2 linked regions of the Caenorhabditis elegans genome follow. The protein of the gene in region 1 interacts with the protein of each later gene in a pairwise test. Each region holds a gene or a part of one and is shown on either strand. Other genes may lie near its edges.

Region 1 (7,760 bases):
TCGATGCACCTTGTTTCTAATTTTGATGTTTTCAAGACAGCAGGCAACTTTAGCTACCAGTTCATAATGTTGAGTTTTAAAGAAATTATTATTGAAAGTTTTATAGTGACTCAAAATCAAAACAGAATATGTATTTTCCCTGAAAACTAAAAAAAAAGCCCAAAAAGCTCCACCCAATCCGGCAAAACGGTGGAACCAATAGGATATGCTCGTAAATCAAGTTCCCTTGGATTCAAAAAAGCAGTGACCTCACAGAAACCAAAAACCTGCGGCAAAATTGAAAGCTTATAACTCGGATTCACAGCTGAAAATTCAAATTTTCAATTTTCAAATCTGTCTTGCGAGATCCATTTTCGATAATTTTTAGACGCTTTTTCTGGCTTTAGGGGTTTCAACATTTTTCCAGTTGGTATTTTTTATCTGGCCGCCCGTGGAAATCTATTTTGGGTTTTCAACAGTTGAAAGATAATCGAATTCTTCAAATCCATTTTTTAAGGTTTCAAAGGTTCTTAAATTTTCAGTAATCATTGATCATTCGCTTAAACTAAACAAATCTCTTTCACTAGAAGCAGAGCACACAAATAAACGCTCTCATCAATCAAGGCCTCCCGTTTTTGTCTCCCCATCCTCTCCACTTCTTTCCCCCCTTCTGAATTGAATGGACATGGACTTATCTCGATTTGATTGAAGAGTCTATCCACTCTAGATGCTTCTTCTTTTGGAACTAACAATGAGAACACAAAACTACGACGATGACAACTAACCTTGACAATTTGCGACGCATCGAAGGGAATCGAAGAAGACGCGCTCAGAGCACCTGTCTGATTACGGTTCGCGGCTTTTTGTGACTCGGTGAGCCCCTCGTCGCGTAGCTGCTTTGCCAGGGAATTCTGGAGGAAAGTTCTTGCTTGAGTCATTCGTTGATAAAGATCTGGTGGTGGTGGAGGTGGTTGCTGGACTTCTGTGACGTAGTTCGTTGTCGAGTACTCGTGGATCATTTCTCGAGCGTTGCGGATTGGGGACTGTGAGCGGCGGATTTTACTGAAAATTCGAAGAATTAGGATGGCTTCCACCCCTGTCAGCCGCTAAATATAAAGCAGTGGCTGAAATCCCGTGAGGGGCCGGCTGCTGTCAATAAGGCATCGGTCGCCACTGTTAAAGTGTGTAATAAGATATTTGGCTGAAAAATCCCGTGAGTTGTCGGCTGCTACCCATTAGGTAGTGTTACCTATTAGGTTCTGGCACATCCTATGGAATTCAGTCTGTATCTATAAAATATCAGCCGCTACCCGCAAGATGTCGGCTGCTTCTCATAAGGCTTCAAACAATGCCAGTGAAGTGTCGGCTATTACTCAATCGAGGTAGACTAAAACCCAGTCGGCCAACACACAGATATTGGCCTAAGAACCATTCGGTCGCTGTACATGCAATGCTAGCCGCAACTCACGAGGTGTCGGCCGCTAACTGTAAGGTGTCGAGCGCATCTCACAAGTTGTCAAAAGATACCCGTTAAATGTCAGCCTCTTGGCCAAATACCTGTGAGGTGTCGGCTGGTACCTATGAGGTGTCGGCCGCTATACATAAAATGTCGGGCGCTAACCATAAAGTGTTAATTTTCCAACAACTAAAAAATAATTACCTTGGATCGTAGGGCTCCGACCACTGAAGAACCGTCTCCTTATTGCCATATTTATTCGAATTATTGTTCTCGTTTAAGCTATTGCTTGATGTTGTGGTGGTTGCCGTAGTTGCCGTGTTATTAAAATAATCGTCGTCCTTGTGATAGCTTCGGAAGTTTGTAGGATATGAGTGTTTAGAAGAATATGGAGACACATAAGTTGCCTCACTATTACTATTACCAAATGATGGAGGCGACGGGGACTTGTTTGCGTATTGAGTTAGAGTGGATGATGAGAATTTATTGATTGGGCTATAGTTTGAAGTTGGGGAAGTACTTGATAGAAGAGCCTCTCGGGATTGCTGGAAAGTTTTTGATTTTTTTATGAGGACCGATGGAATGTAGTACCTGGAATTGGCTTAACGCATTGGGGTCTCGATGAAAGTCGCCGAGCGGACGAGGTTGGTTGGAATAAGTGGGCGGAGAAGGAATCTGAAAATTATCAGAATTTTAATGACGCATCAGCCCGGGAGTTGTCGGCTGCAACCTCTCTAAAAACCCTCTCACCTCTGCTCTGGTTTTCGGCTGAGCCAATTGTTGGAGGTTCGCGCGATACGTCCGATCTCCGTCAGGCAATTGTTGATGCGGTCGGTCCAATCGTCCATCGGATAGATTCTCGACGTCACCTCGAACCGGTTCGTTGTAGCCGGTCTTACGCAGACGTGCTGCGGCGTGCTGTAGTGCCGAAGCGTCCACTGTGGGACGGGACGGCTTGGGCGGCGCAGGTGCGGGATGGTTGTTACGTCGTGGTGCATCCTCTGTCTTCCATTTGCGAGATGGTAGTATCTCTCCCTAGAAGTTAATTTCTTACTTTTGGAAGTAAATAGTTATATAAGATCATATCACATTTCATATTTTAGTTTCACCCGACTACATTACTTTGAAACGCTATATCTTGGTTCTTTTTCAAGATACCAATAATTGTCAAACTAAAAAATGTAGAAAAAGAACTAAAAAACATTTTGACAGTTGACAATTTTTGAGTAGAGCAAACGACAACTGAGTTATAGGCTCTCAAAGTTGTAAAATTTTTCAAACTAACCAAATCTGCCAAATTTGAGGAAAACAATTTTTTTAATTAAAGGTCGGTAGATTTTTTGCTTTAAATGACAGAATACTGTCCTAATATACCGATTATAACTGTTTAAAATTTAAAAAAAATTTTAATTTTTCATTCACGCCCAAACTAATTGGGTTTTTCTTTATTTTTTTTCTTTATTTTATAATTTGAAACATATTTAATTTTCCAATTTTTCAGAAATTTTTCCGTAAAGAAAACTATATAATTGCAAAGAAAATTGCCAAAACTCTGAAATTGGATTAAACTTTGAAATTGGCCAAAATGGAGACTAATATAGCGGGAAAACACAAATACCGTATTTCTTCTATTAATATAGCTGCAATACTATTTTTCGATGGTCTTCCCGCTTGCAATACTAATAGGGAGTGCAAGACTATTAGGGAGTGCAATACTAATTTTCAGAACATTTTCTGACTTTGAGCTTACTAGTTTTTTCCTGAAAAAGCTCGAATCATATGTAAAAATTCTGAAAATTTGATTTTCATATAATTTCAAAAACTTCAATCTCGTAGAAATGATGTGAAAACTGTTGCAAAATAGGCAAAAATGTTGTTGAAATCCTGAAATTAGCGAGACGGGTTTGCAATACAAAAAAGTTAACGCAAGACTATTAGAGAGTGCAAGACTAATAGGGAGTGCAATACTAATTTTCGGAAGGTCTCCGAGGGGCAATACTAATAGGGAGTGCAAGTCTAATAGGGAGGCCATATTAATAGAAGATATACGGTATGTCGAAAATGACGTCACTCAGTTGCGCGGGAATTTAAATTTCATTCGGCCCTTTTTATTATTTTTGCAAAATTTTAAAAAAATCATAAAAAATTTACAAAAATTTTATAATTTTTTTTACTGTTATGTATGGTATATTGGGGATGTATTCTGTCATTTTTTTCTTTATTTTTCGAAAAAACCCTCATTTCCGCTGGATAAAAAAAATTTGCCACTACGATTATGGTTAGCAATAATTTATGGTTTTTCAAGTGATTAATGAGAATAATTAAATGCCCAGGGGTGCTAGAAGGAGCACATAAATTACCGTATGCAAATCGTTTACCTTCATATGCAAAATGTGCTTTGAATTAATAGAAAGGGTATTGTCTAGAGCGTGGGAAGTGAAATAGAATTCAGAACGACTCTAAGAGCCGGCAGTTCAGAAATAAATTAACGATAATTAAACCCATCTGCCTCCAAAAAGCCAAGATTTTAAATTTTGAAATGTCTATTTCCACGTGATGTCAGGATGTCTCATTACAGTTTGATCTACAAAAATGCGGGAATTTTTTGTTCGGAAAAATTGTGATCTACAAAAAATGCGGGAATTTTTTGTTCGGAAAAATTGTGATCTACAAAAAATGCGGGATTTTTTGTTCGGAAAAATTGTGATCTACAAAAAATGCGGGAATTTTTTGTTCGGAAAAATTGTGATCTACAAAAAATTCGGGAATTTTTTCAGAAAAATTGTGACGTCAGCAAGATCTGCGAAATCAGATGAGATGTCTGCGTCTCAACTCCCGCACTTTTTGAAGATCAAATCGAAATAAGAAATTCTGACAATCCCTGAGCTTTTGGGGGTTTTATCGAGCTACCGTAATGGATAACATACATAATTTTTAAACCTCTCTCCCACGCCATTGATTTTTTTTCAAACTTTTGGCCTAAAAAAATTTCAGAACATTTTCCAATTTTCTTTTGCAATTTCAGTTCAACTTACGGATGGGAGTAGAGGGGGTGGTGGAGGCGGAGGCGGGGGTCCCATAGATCAGTAGCGGATGCCGAGTCTGGAATAGTGCTGAAGGAGCGAGCACGACCCAAGCTGAAAGACACATATGTTGGAGGTCAGGACACAGAGCAAACAATTTAACACAACAAAAACATGAAGAAATGAAAAAAAAACGATACCTTTGACTAGGATAATGAGGAAGTGGTGAGAGGTAACTCATATTAGGATGTGCGACCTGGATGGATAGAGAATGTCTGGAGAGCGCGCCTCGGTGTGGTGTTTAGTATGTTTAGAGTCTTGGGGGCTCCGACGGACCCCGAGGAGCTGCATGCCACAGGAACCCCGGGCGAACCGCGTCGGCGTCTCTTCACATCCTTACGACTCTCTCGCTTCATCCCGGCAGGAGCCCATTTTACACTTTGGCTCACAAAATTCGACTGATGGCAGGAAAAATAGAGAGGATATGGGAGGGGGGGGGGGGAGATTACAAAAAAAGGAAAGCGAAAACGAGGGATAAGCGATGAACAAAGAGGAAAAGAGATAAGCAACAACATCTGCTATTGGAAGATGATATCAAAAATTTCGTGTGAAATCCACGTGGCAGACAGGAAATTGGTGGCTGATAATTTATAGGGGAGAGGGACCGGCAATATTTAAGTTATGGTTGGAGATTATACAAAAACCTAGAGTTCACAGCGTGGCCTAGAAAATCTAAAACTCATTATTTATATTTTAGCAATTTGATCTTAAATAGATCATTTAGAGTTCGAGGAAATTACCCTATGTGTGTTAGCGGCCGAGTTTTCTCATTTTCGCGGCCACGTATATTTTTCTCGGGTTCTAGGCCATGACTTTCGGCTCAACCTAATCGTTTTATATTTCAGATTTTTTTTTTAAATTGCTATTTGAAAGCACAGATTTAGATCAAGCACAAATTTGTGATGTGGCCTAGAAAACAGATAACTCGGCCATCAATTAAATTTTTCAAAAAGTTTTCCAGATTGAATCTATAAGGTGTCGTCTACATACAATTCGAGAAAAAAAATGTTTGTAGCGTAGCCGAGTTTTCTTATTTTTTCGGCCACGAATATTTTTGTGACGTCATATTTTCAAGTGGGCCTTGTCGGGTTCTAGGACATCACATTCGGTTTGAATTTTTTTTTTCAAATCCGAAATTTGCCTAATTTTATTCTGGAGCACTTTTTTTATACGAAAATTGAAGTTTAATCTTTCTAACCCAAAACTGTCCGTCATTTGTGGCTTGGCCTAGAAAAAAACGGGAAAACTGGGCCATCAACATATATTTTCTTTATTGCTAGAGATGATCTTAAAATAGCCTTTTACAGTTAATGAAAAGACCCCTTTTCATCCTTTTTATAATTAATTGTTTTGTGGCCGATCTTTCCCATTTTAAAGCCAATATTAACTTCGATTTATGTGATTCTAGACCATTCTAAAAAATTAAAATTTTGAGAACTTTGAAGTTTTTAACTTCAAAGAATTTTTGTATTCAAAAAAGTCTTCCAACCCCAAAAAAAACTGTCATCTTTGAAGCACAGAACGCCATGCAAACAACGATAAAACATTGGAAGAGCGGAAAGAAGAAAAAAACCGACGCGAAAAAAAGTCTGTGGTTTTATGGATGGTATAGTTGTGCCCAACCCTCTCTTCTTCTCTTTTCACAGGAATTTTATGGGCGGTTTCGTGGGCGCAATCATGATCATTCCCTAATATTTTTTTTTTTCTACAGAAAAAAAATATTTTAAGAAAAAAAACTTTTGGCTGGAATTCGTGAGAAACAAAAATTGAAACAAAAAACAGTTGGTGTACAAACATTGAAAAGAGGAGTCTATGTATTTTTCGACTTATTTTAACTGCCTGAAACTCTTCCTCTTTCTGCCTAGAATAACCGGAATTCTATGCAAGCAAACAGGGTAATAGGTGAATCACATAGAACTTTGAACTTTGTCAGGAGTTCGCAGGGGATTAGATTCTTAGGTGGCTTATGGTGTTTTTGTTTTGGAAATTTGGAAAATATGGGGTAGATGGCTGTAAAGGTAAGAAAAAAAAATGTAATTAGGATGGAAAGAAAAAATATTTATAAAAAATTTAAAAATAAAACTAGAAATCAATTTTTAAAAATAAACCTTAAGAATTCTGTCATAGTTATGGTGAAGGTTTGGAAAAAAAGCTAATTGTCAAAAAATTGTAGGAATTTTTTTTGAGAAATTTGGAGAAATTTTTCATGTTTGAATTTCTAAAAATTTTGAATATGAGTAAATAAAACAAAATTCAATAAAAAGATTTCGTAGAAAAAAAACAATTTTTCCAAAACACGGAAATTTCCAAAATTAGGAGTGGCAAAAGCTGAATAATTTTATTTTCTGAAATTTAAAAATTTACAATAAATTTAAGAATTTAAATCGTACAATTATTGATATTTTATCTTGTATTTTTTTTTTAATTTACAATTTTCAATTTTGAAAAATGTGGTTTTTTTTTTCGAAATTTTTCGGTATTGTTTTAGGCGGGAAAATTTTTCAAAAAAATAAAAAAATCTAATCTAAAACGTTGCCAGATTATTTGAAAAGTTGAAACAAAATTTCGTCAATTTCGGAACTAAATTAAAAATCTTGAAAGAATTGAAAATGCTGAGTTTTTTGAGAAATTTGGAGCGTTGTTGCATGAATAAAGTTCCACAAACCGAATAATTGAAATATATAATTTGAAACAATATTTTTTTGACAAAAAAATCCAAAGAAACATTAAAATTAAGATTAGCGAAATTTAATAAAGATTGAATATTGCAACTGTATTTTTTTTATTAGGCAGGTTTTTTTTTTTAATTTTTAGTTTTTGGAGTAGCGCCAGTGGGTATTTTATCTGAATACATTTATAATGATCCAAAACAACCGAATATCATAATAAAACGCTCCAAAAAAATTTCAGATTTTTCATATAGTTTTTGCAAATTGCCAAAATTTTGAAAAAATGAGCTTTTGAGGAAATCCAAAGCAATGTCGCACGTTCCACCTCTACAATGTTTTAATATAAATAATTAAAACAAAATTACAGTATGAAAAATGTAGGAAAAGCATTCTTTTTTGGTCGACTTCCAAAATTATGAGTGGCAAAAACTGAGTCATTGCCATTTTTGGACAGTTGAAAATTTACAGGCTTTGACTGTATGTAGATCAAAAAATGTTCTTAAAAAATGTGAAAACCTTTTTGAAAAATTATTCTACGACATACGATATAACAAAATAGTTACCCAAAATAAC
Region 2 (6,826 bases), on another chromosome or scaffold:
TACTTTTCATACTTTTCATACAAGGTCTGCGAACACGATACTTGAAAAAGTAAAAAAACTAGATTTTGAAAAGCAGACAACTGGTCTCCGCCAACACGATAAAGAACATGTATGTTTCGTTGATGAGCTCCGAAAAGTTTTCGCTGTCTGTCTGTTCAAAAACATGAAGAACATTGAGCACGTTATGTGAACCCAACAAAAACGTCTAGGATAGGCCGAGTGTAACCTGGAAGTGGAAGCCAGTGAATGATGTTGTGTAATTTACGATGGCAGAAAACAATGTTATTGATTTTTGTTCTTTTTTTTAAGCCAAAATATTGCTTTTTTGATCCATACATTTTATTTTCTTGCTTTCAAATGAAGTATAATCTGTGAAAATACTTAGGATTGCATGGTAATTCTGATTATCATTTGTTCTTTCTTCGATAATTTTTGTTCAAAACGTTTGAAAAATACTTATTGCCACAAAAAATTTGAATGAGTCTTAGAGCTTATTATCATCTTAAATCACGAAATCTTCAGCAAGGTCTGTAGTTTTTTAAATGAAAATTGCATTTTCTTGATAGTAGAAAAATGTTTGGGTAGTGTGGACAAGTGTGTAGACAATTCAATTTTTCAAATTGAGGGGCATTTACAGAATTACAAGAGTAGTATCGCCAATATGAAAAAAAAATTTTTGAGTCGGATAATATTCTAAATTGTGAACAAAATCAGTTTTTCCGCCACTTCTCGAAAATGGGAAGTTTCGGAAATGTAACACCTGTGGGAACTGATTAACAACGCGTTGGGAAATTGTATAGTGATTAAACATCGGTATTCATTTCTATAAATATTATTCAAAAAAAATTCATGTAATACATACTTAATTGAAAACCACATAAATTTTCAAATTCGATAGTTTCACCATATACAAAAAATTCAACATTTTAACTTTTTCGACGCTCTTTCTAAAAAAAAATTTGATCACAGTACTACTTCAATAATAATAATAATAATATTGAAAATAATGACTAACCTTTTTAGAACACTTAAATACATTGCATTTAAATGTGTTACTAGCTCCATCCCGTGCAATGTAGGAAAATATTTGAAGATCTTGAGAATCATGTGACACGTAGAATATCCTTCAAAATTTTTACAATAACAATTTTACAGAAATTTAACAATACCTGTATATTGGGTGAAACATGACAAGTAATTTAGATTCATCCCAAGAGAGACCTTTCTCTTTCTGTTTCTTCCGCTGAAGAACAACTTTGACACCATCGACGGATACGGTAATGTCGACCGGGCGTTTTTTGATACCACGAGCTTTGAATTCGTACTGAAAATGGTTTTATTCAATAATCAAGGAATTAGGAAAATAGATTTTCAAAAGCGTTTTCTTCAAACACTTCAATTTGGTTGTTTAAGAAAAAGTCAGTCAAAATCAACAAATATGACACGGTCAAATTCAAATTCACATCGATGATATGCTTGTTCAAATATTGATTGCTTATGTTTCCTTAATCAACAAAAAAAGTTTTAGATACGACTATAGGTTTTAGGTAAAAAAGTATCAGCTTTTTTGCAGTGTGGCAGATTATTCAATCAACGCCTAGCATTTACTGACTTTAATATTGATTGATTTAACAAACGAAAAAATTGTAGAGAAGAAAACACTAGCAAGTGTAGAATTTGTAAAAAATTCAATAAATTATGATCTTTCAAAGTATTACGATTCTATTTTCTACACTACTAATAATAATGTTGCAACCATGTAATTATACAAATTTTAGATTATACTACTAATTTTCAATTGCAAATTTCAGCTCATTTTGAATATATCTCTATTTGCGAGTTTTTATAAAAAAAACTCACTCGAACTCGTCGCATCGCCGCCACAATCTCGATTCTCGTCCCGGGTCTAGGAATTTCCATGCTTCCGACATACTGCAAAAACCCTTTTTGGATTAAATCCAGTAGTTTTGTTTTTGTTTTCTTTTTGAAAGAAAAAAAAAACTAAACTTCCCACTATGATTAAATTTGCAAACGCGTTAGGACCAAACTTGAAGACAATCTAATCTACACCCTCCGGGCTTTTCAGAATATTCAATGTTCGTTTAAACAAGATTAGCGTTGTACAAACATTCGAATACATCTTTTCACAAACCTTTGCTTCGAAATGAATACCATGCTGATAAGCGAGTTCGTTATGGAGTGGAATACGGCAGTCGTAGACATCGTCGGCGATGATATCGTACGGACCATGCTTTTTCCGCACAGGCATTATATCCTCACCTCTGTAAAATATGAAATAATGATGAAATGGTGGAAATGTTAGTAAAAAAGTATTAAAGAAAAACGGTTAGAGAAGTAAAACAAGATGTTAGATGGTTTCAGCAATAAAAAACATGGGTGTTTTGAAGAAAGTGAATTTTAAACAATAATCAAAAACAAAGTGGTATTAGACACTCGGCAAATCGCTGTTAGTACGGGAGGACGTATGTCGATTACAAATTCCTTGTTATAAACATAACATGTTTAAAAAAACTGAATGAATGTCAATTTTAATAAAGTACAGAGCCTCTGGTTTGTAAATGTTTTTTATTAATAATATTACTGGATTGCGTTTCCGTAATAATACATCTTTTTTGCACTTTCTACTTGACCGAAATGTTTTCGTGCAGATGAAAATAATGAAAATTAAAATATTTACATGATACTACGCAAGACAACATTTTATCAGAAAGAAAATTTGGACTTTAAAACTATTTTCACGCAGAAAAGGCCATGAGGTTTCAAAACCAATTTTTTGTTAGGTTAAGATAGGGCTGGTAATCCAGAGGACTGGCCTTTCCGAATGTACTGATTTTCGGACAATCGGGCGTTCGGTTTTGAACATTCGTGGATTTATGGGAGCGTATATCCCGACATTTTTTTGTGTTCCGCGTCTCATTGTGATAATGCGTGCGTTTCTATAGTAAGCAGCGGAACCCAGAAAATGTCAGGATGTAAGCTCCCCTAATTCCTGTGATAAAAAAAATTTCCACCTTATTTTGCCACCCATGGTGACTCCATGTGGGCGGACGTCCAGATGGCCAGCCCTAGGTGGAAAAATAACAAAAGTTGAAGTAGTGCCAGAATGTTATTTATGCTGAAAATCAGCAGAAAAAGAGATAACATTTTCAACAATTTTCCGAATGTATTGATATTTTAGTCCATGTTTTAGGTACACTATTAGAAATTCATTTTAAAAATTACTATGCTTTCAACTGTAAATTAACAAAGATTTTTTGTGCACTTTGAAGAAAATTGTTAGTTTCATATTCTGACTTTTCAGCCCCTAAACAACTTTCCTACTGATGCTACTCCGTTTCTAAATGGACAATAAACACTTGTTAAACATTTCTGAAAAAAAACGCTCACTCAAAACCGTATCAAACCTTCAACTGCATATCGAGTATATCAGCTACCATGAGCCAGTATACTACGAAGCAATTGTCCGATATCAGGACAATTTGGATATCGTATTGAAACTGGTGGTGACGTTGGAAAACGTTGGGTGAAGAGGTGAGGTTCGCTGAAAACTCAGTGATTAAGCTGCTAAAAATGACAAAAAGGGCACACTATGAAAAAAGAGCAAACGAGGAAAAATAATTGAGTGATGATGAGAAATGATGAGGAACAATGGGCCAAGTAGATGGGGGAGAGAGGAAATGAAAGAAGAAATGAATAACTCATGCGGCAACGCAATTTTAAACACTAAAACCAAATATTTTTGCTTCTGATCATTTTCCTGGAGGAAAAACGGATAAGGGAGTATTGAACAAAAGAGCAAATGCAGAGAAAAGTGTAGGTAGTGTAGCTAAAAGGACTTTTAAGGAAAGTGGACTGACCAAAAGTCCGTCCGCAAATTGAATATGAGAATGGAAACAGGAGGAAAACGGAAGCCGATGTTAAGAAGGAGGGAAAGAAGTTTAGGATGATGGGGGGGGGGGGGGGGGGGGGGACAGAAGAAATAGAAGAAGTTGCGAGCCGAACAAAACTGGAAATTGGTTGGTTGGGAGACCGATGAGCGAGGTTCCCTGGAGACGTTTTCAAATAGGAATATAAAGATTGAAGATGTGTTGAGAGAAAAAAATAAAATAAAAACGCAAAAAAAGAGGAGGGGCGCCTACAAAACGGCTACAAATATGATTGTCAGTGCGGGGGAAAGATATTTCTACTTTCATGGATTTGAAATGAATAAATGTAATGTTATATATATTATACAATACAAAACTTGTGTTACTGTATTTTTCAAGTAGTTCCATGCTTTCATATGAATTTTTAAAATTACCATTATTACTAACACAGCACGTGATGGCAAGCGGTCTCATTACGATTTGATTTACAAAAAAGGCGACGTCAGCACACCTTCAAAAATGCCAAAAAAATCTGTCGAGAAGTCTGCGTCTAGATCCCCGCACATTCCGTAGATCTACGTAGATCAAACCAAAATGGGACACTCTGACACCAAGTGACACAACTCTTATAAACTCGTTTCTCTGATTGATTAGTTGAAAAAAGCTGATAGTATTCACTACAAAAGCAATGATACAAGGAAAATTAGTGCAATATCAAACATTTCGGATTGGTACAAGTAGAATGGCATACCAAACCATTATCGCAATGCATCTAAAAATAATTCAAAAAAAAATTAATGTCAGTTGAATTTCCAACATTGTGACAAAAAATGTGGTGTTAATTATTTTACGTGGTTTCGTATACTGAAAAACTGTATTTATTTACATGTTGATGTCAATGTGAAACATGATAAAAACAAAAAAAAAGCTTCACTATTTAGGAAAACTATATGAATTAAAAAATTACACATAGTTTGCGATTGGGAAACAAATTTCAAAAAAAAGGAAACCATACTTTTTTTTAGATATTGGCAGTAGCATAATGCACTAGAGCAAATATACGAAGTTATATTCTAGAAATTTGAAAGAAACGCAACAAAAATCAAGATGAAAGCATGCAAGTTTTGCTCTTTATATATCGTCTCATCACCCGTTCTTCTGCGACATTGGAAGCAATTATCCACACTATCACTCAGTTCCTAATCGATTTGAAAATAGAAAAAAAAATCGGAAAATGGAGGACAAAACAGGGGCAAAAAGAGAAAAGCGGTCGGCGGGGAAAAGAAAACGAAGAAGCGGTTGCGTGTGTGCCGTACTCTCTCATCGTCTTGTCTTGCGCAATTAGTTGTGATTTTAGGAAGCATGCGTGTGCATGTATGGGTGCACTTGTAGCTGATTGACTTATGCGCATCTCCTTCTTTGATAGAATTGCCGAGTAGAAGAGTTTAGATTTGTTGGAGTGATGGAGAGGAGTCACCGCTCCTCCTCATCCTATTCCTCCACATCTTCTTTTTTATTGTGACTGACTTTGTCGGGAGCCTTGCTCCAAAAACTTACTCTATCTTACTCTATCTACCACATCTTCGTCTTCTTGCGTTGGCCTTTTTCCGCCAACATTTTTGATGTAATGTGTCTTCGGAAGGCGTCTGAATAGAAAACGAAGCAGAGTTGCATGTTTTTCGGCAGTTCTTGGATTAACTTTTGTGGATTGGAATGTTTGTCAGAATTAGATGTGGAACCATCAACTTCAAAAACATTTGGGCCAAGATCATGTTGTGTAATTTAAAAATAACAAAATTATACTTATACTGAAAGAGTTCCAGTTGTGATAGCCAAATTCAAAATAGTCTAGCCCTGCATTGTAAGTACATATAATACGATGAGGCCAGGATAGACCTTTAGTTTTCAGTTTTTGCAGCGTCAATGTTATATATCATATTTAAAAAAATGTTACAGTTTGACACCAGAATTTTAATTTTCAGAAAACGGTTAATTGTGCAAATACCTATTACAATCTAAATGAATCAAATATTGAGGGTATTTATATTTTATTAAACATTGAAGGTTAAGCACCAAAATCTGAGGCTTTTATTTTTTAGACCCAAAATTGCACAAAAATTATCGAATTTTGTAATGAGACGTATTGAAAATTCTGGAAAAAAAGCTCATTTTCAGCTAAAATTAATTTTTTTTCCCAACTTCTCGGCGTCGCAGCGTCTGGAACTCAATGTTAATTAAATTATCACTCTTTGATAAATATTGTGGTGTTTAATTAGGCGTTTATTATATGGGTTAAAAAAATTGTATTTTGTCGTGCTCACAATATAAAATGCTGCACAAATACATTTTAAACTTTTTTAAAATAAAGAAATACAATGACCGAGCTCCAAATTGATTCAACTATCGCAGTTTCAAGAATATTATTCAAAAAACCTGTTTTTCGAGAATTTCATATTTCAACCAGTTTCAGAAAAAAAAATCTGAGAACAACGAAATTTGGATGACAAGAAAAAAAAGAAGGAAAAAGCGCACAGAAGGAAACAGAGGAATAACAATCTAAACAAGAAGACGTCGTTGATTAGCTACTTGAAAAACGTTCAAGAGTCCATACGAAATTTCATTTCCAGAATGTACGGCATGTGACTCTCGAAAGATTGGCACCAAAAGACAGAAATTGTTAAAAAGAGGAAGGAAAATGAGCATTTTCAATTTTCACAAAGACAATAGTGTCAAGACTCGCGTTTCGTATGTGCAATTGACATTGTTCAGTACTAATATGGATGTTAACCAAAAAACATGGATCTGTGTTTTTTTGAAAATTATTTTAGGCTGAACGGATATTAGGAAGCTGCTACAATTTATTCGAAAAGCTGTAATTTTTAAGTTGATAGTTCAATTGAAAACGCCTCGTGTATAAAACTTGCACTGAAGGTGTCCTT

What was found.
Region 2: the proteins of zyx-1 (region 1) and dyc-1 interact in a two-hybrid assay, tested with the Caenorhabditis elegans proteins (2 studies listed by BioGRID).

What each region holds. Positions count from the first base shown.
Region 1 is NC_003280.10:13,053,907-13,061,666, reverse strand, and holds the start of zyx-1 (Zyxin), read right to left. Parts: upstream 4,516-7,760; coding exon 4,471-4,515; intron 2,869-4,470; exon of another isoform or gene 2,848-2,868; intron 2,471-2,847; coding exon 2,186-2,470; intron 2,111-2,185; coding exon 2,027-2,110; intron 1,981-2,026; coding exon 1,640-1,980; intron 1,611-1,639; exon of another isoform or gene 1,162-1,610; intron 1,042-1,161; coding exon 765-1,041; intron 1-764. Other genes in the region: azyx-1 (Alternative N-terminal open reading frame of ZYX-1), read right to left, coding at 2,038-2,110, 2,186-2,470, 4,471-4,572, 4,659-4,699. UniProt on the Caenorhabditis elegans protein: Functions both as a mechanical stabilizer (via LIM domains) of focal adhesions, and as a sensor component for muscle cell damage (via N-terminus).
Region 2 is NC_003284.9:14,046,271-14,053,096, reverse strand, and holds the start of dyc-1 (Dystrophin-like protein 1), read right to left. Parts: upstream 3,563-6,826; 5' UTR 3,426-3,562; intron 3,270-3,425; exon of another isoform or gene 3,249-3,269; intron 2,283-3,248; 5' UTR 2,270-2,282; coding exon 2,153-2,269; intron 1,933-2,152; coding exon 1,861-1,932; intron 1,325-1,860; coding exon 1,170-1,324; intron 1,125-1,169; coding exon 1,016-1,124; intron 1-1,015. UniProt on the Caenorhabditis elegans protein: Together with dys-1 and hlh-1, participates in a common muscular function.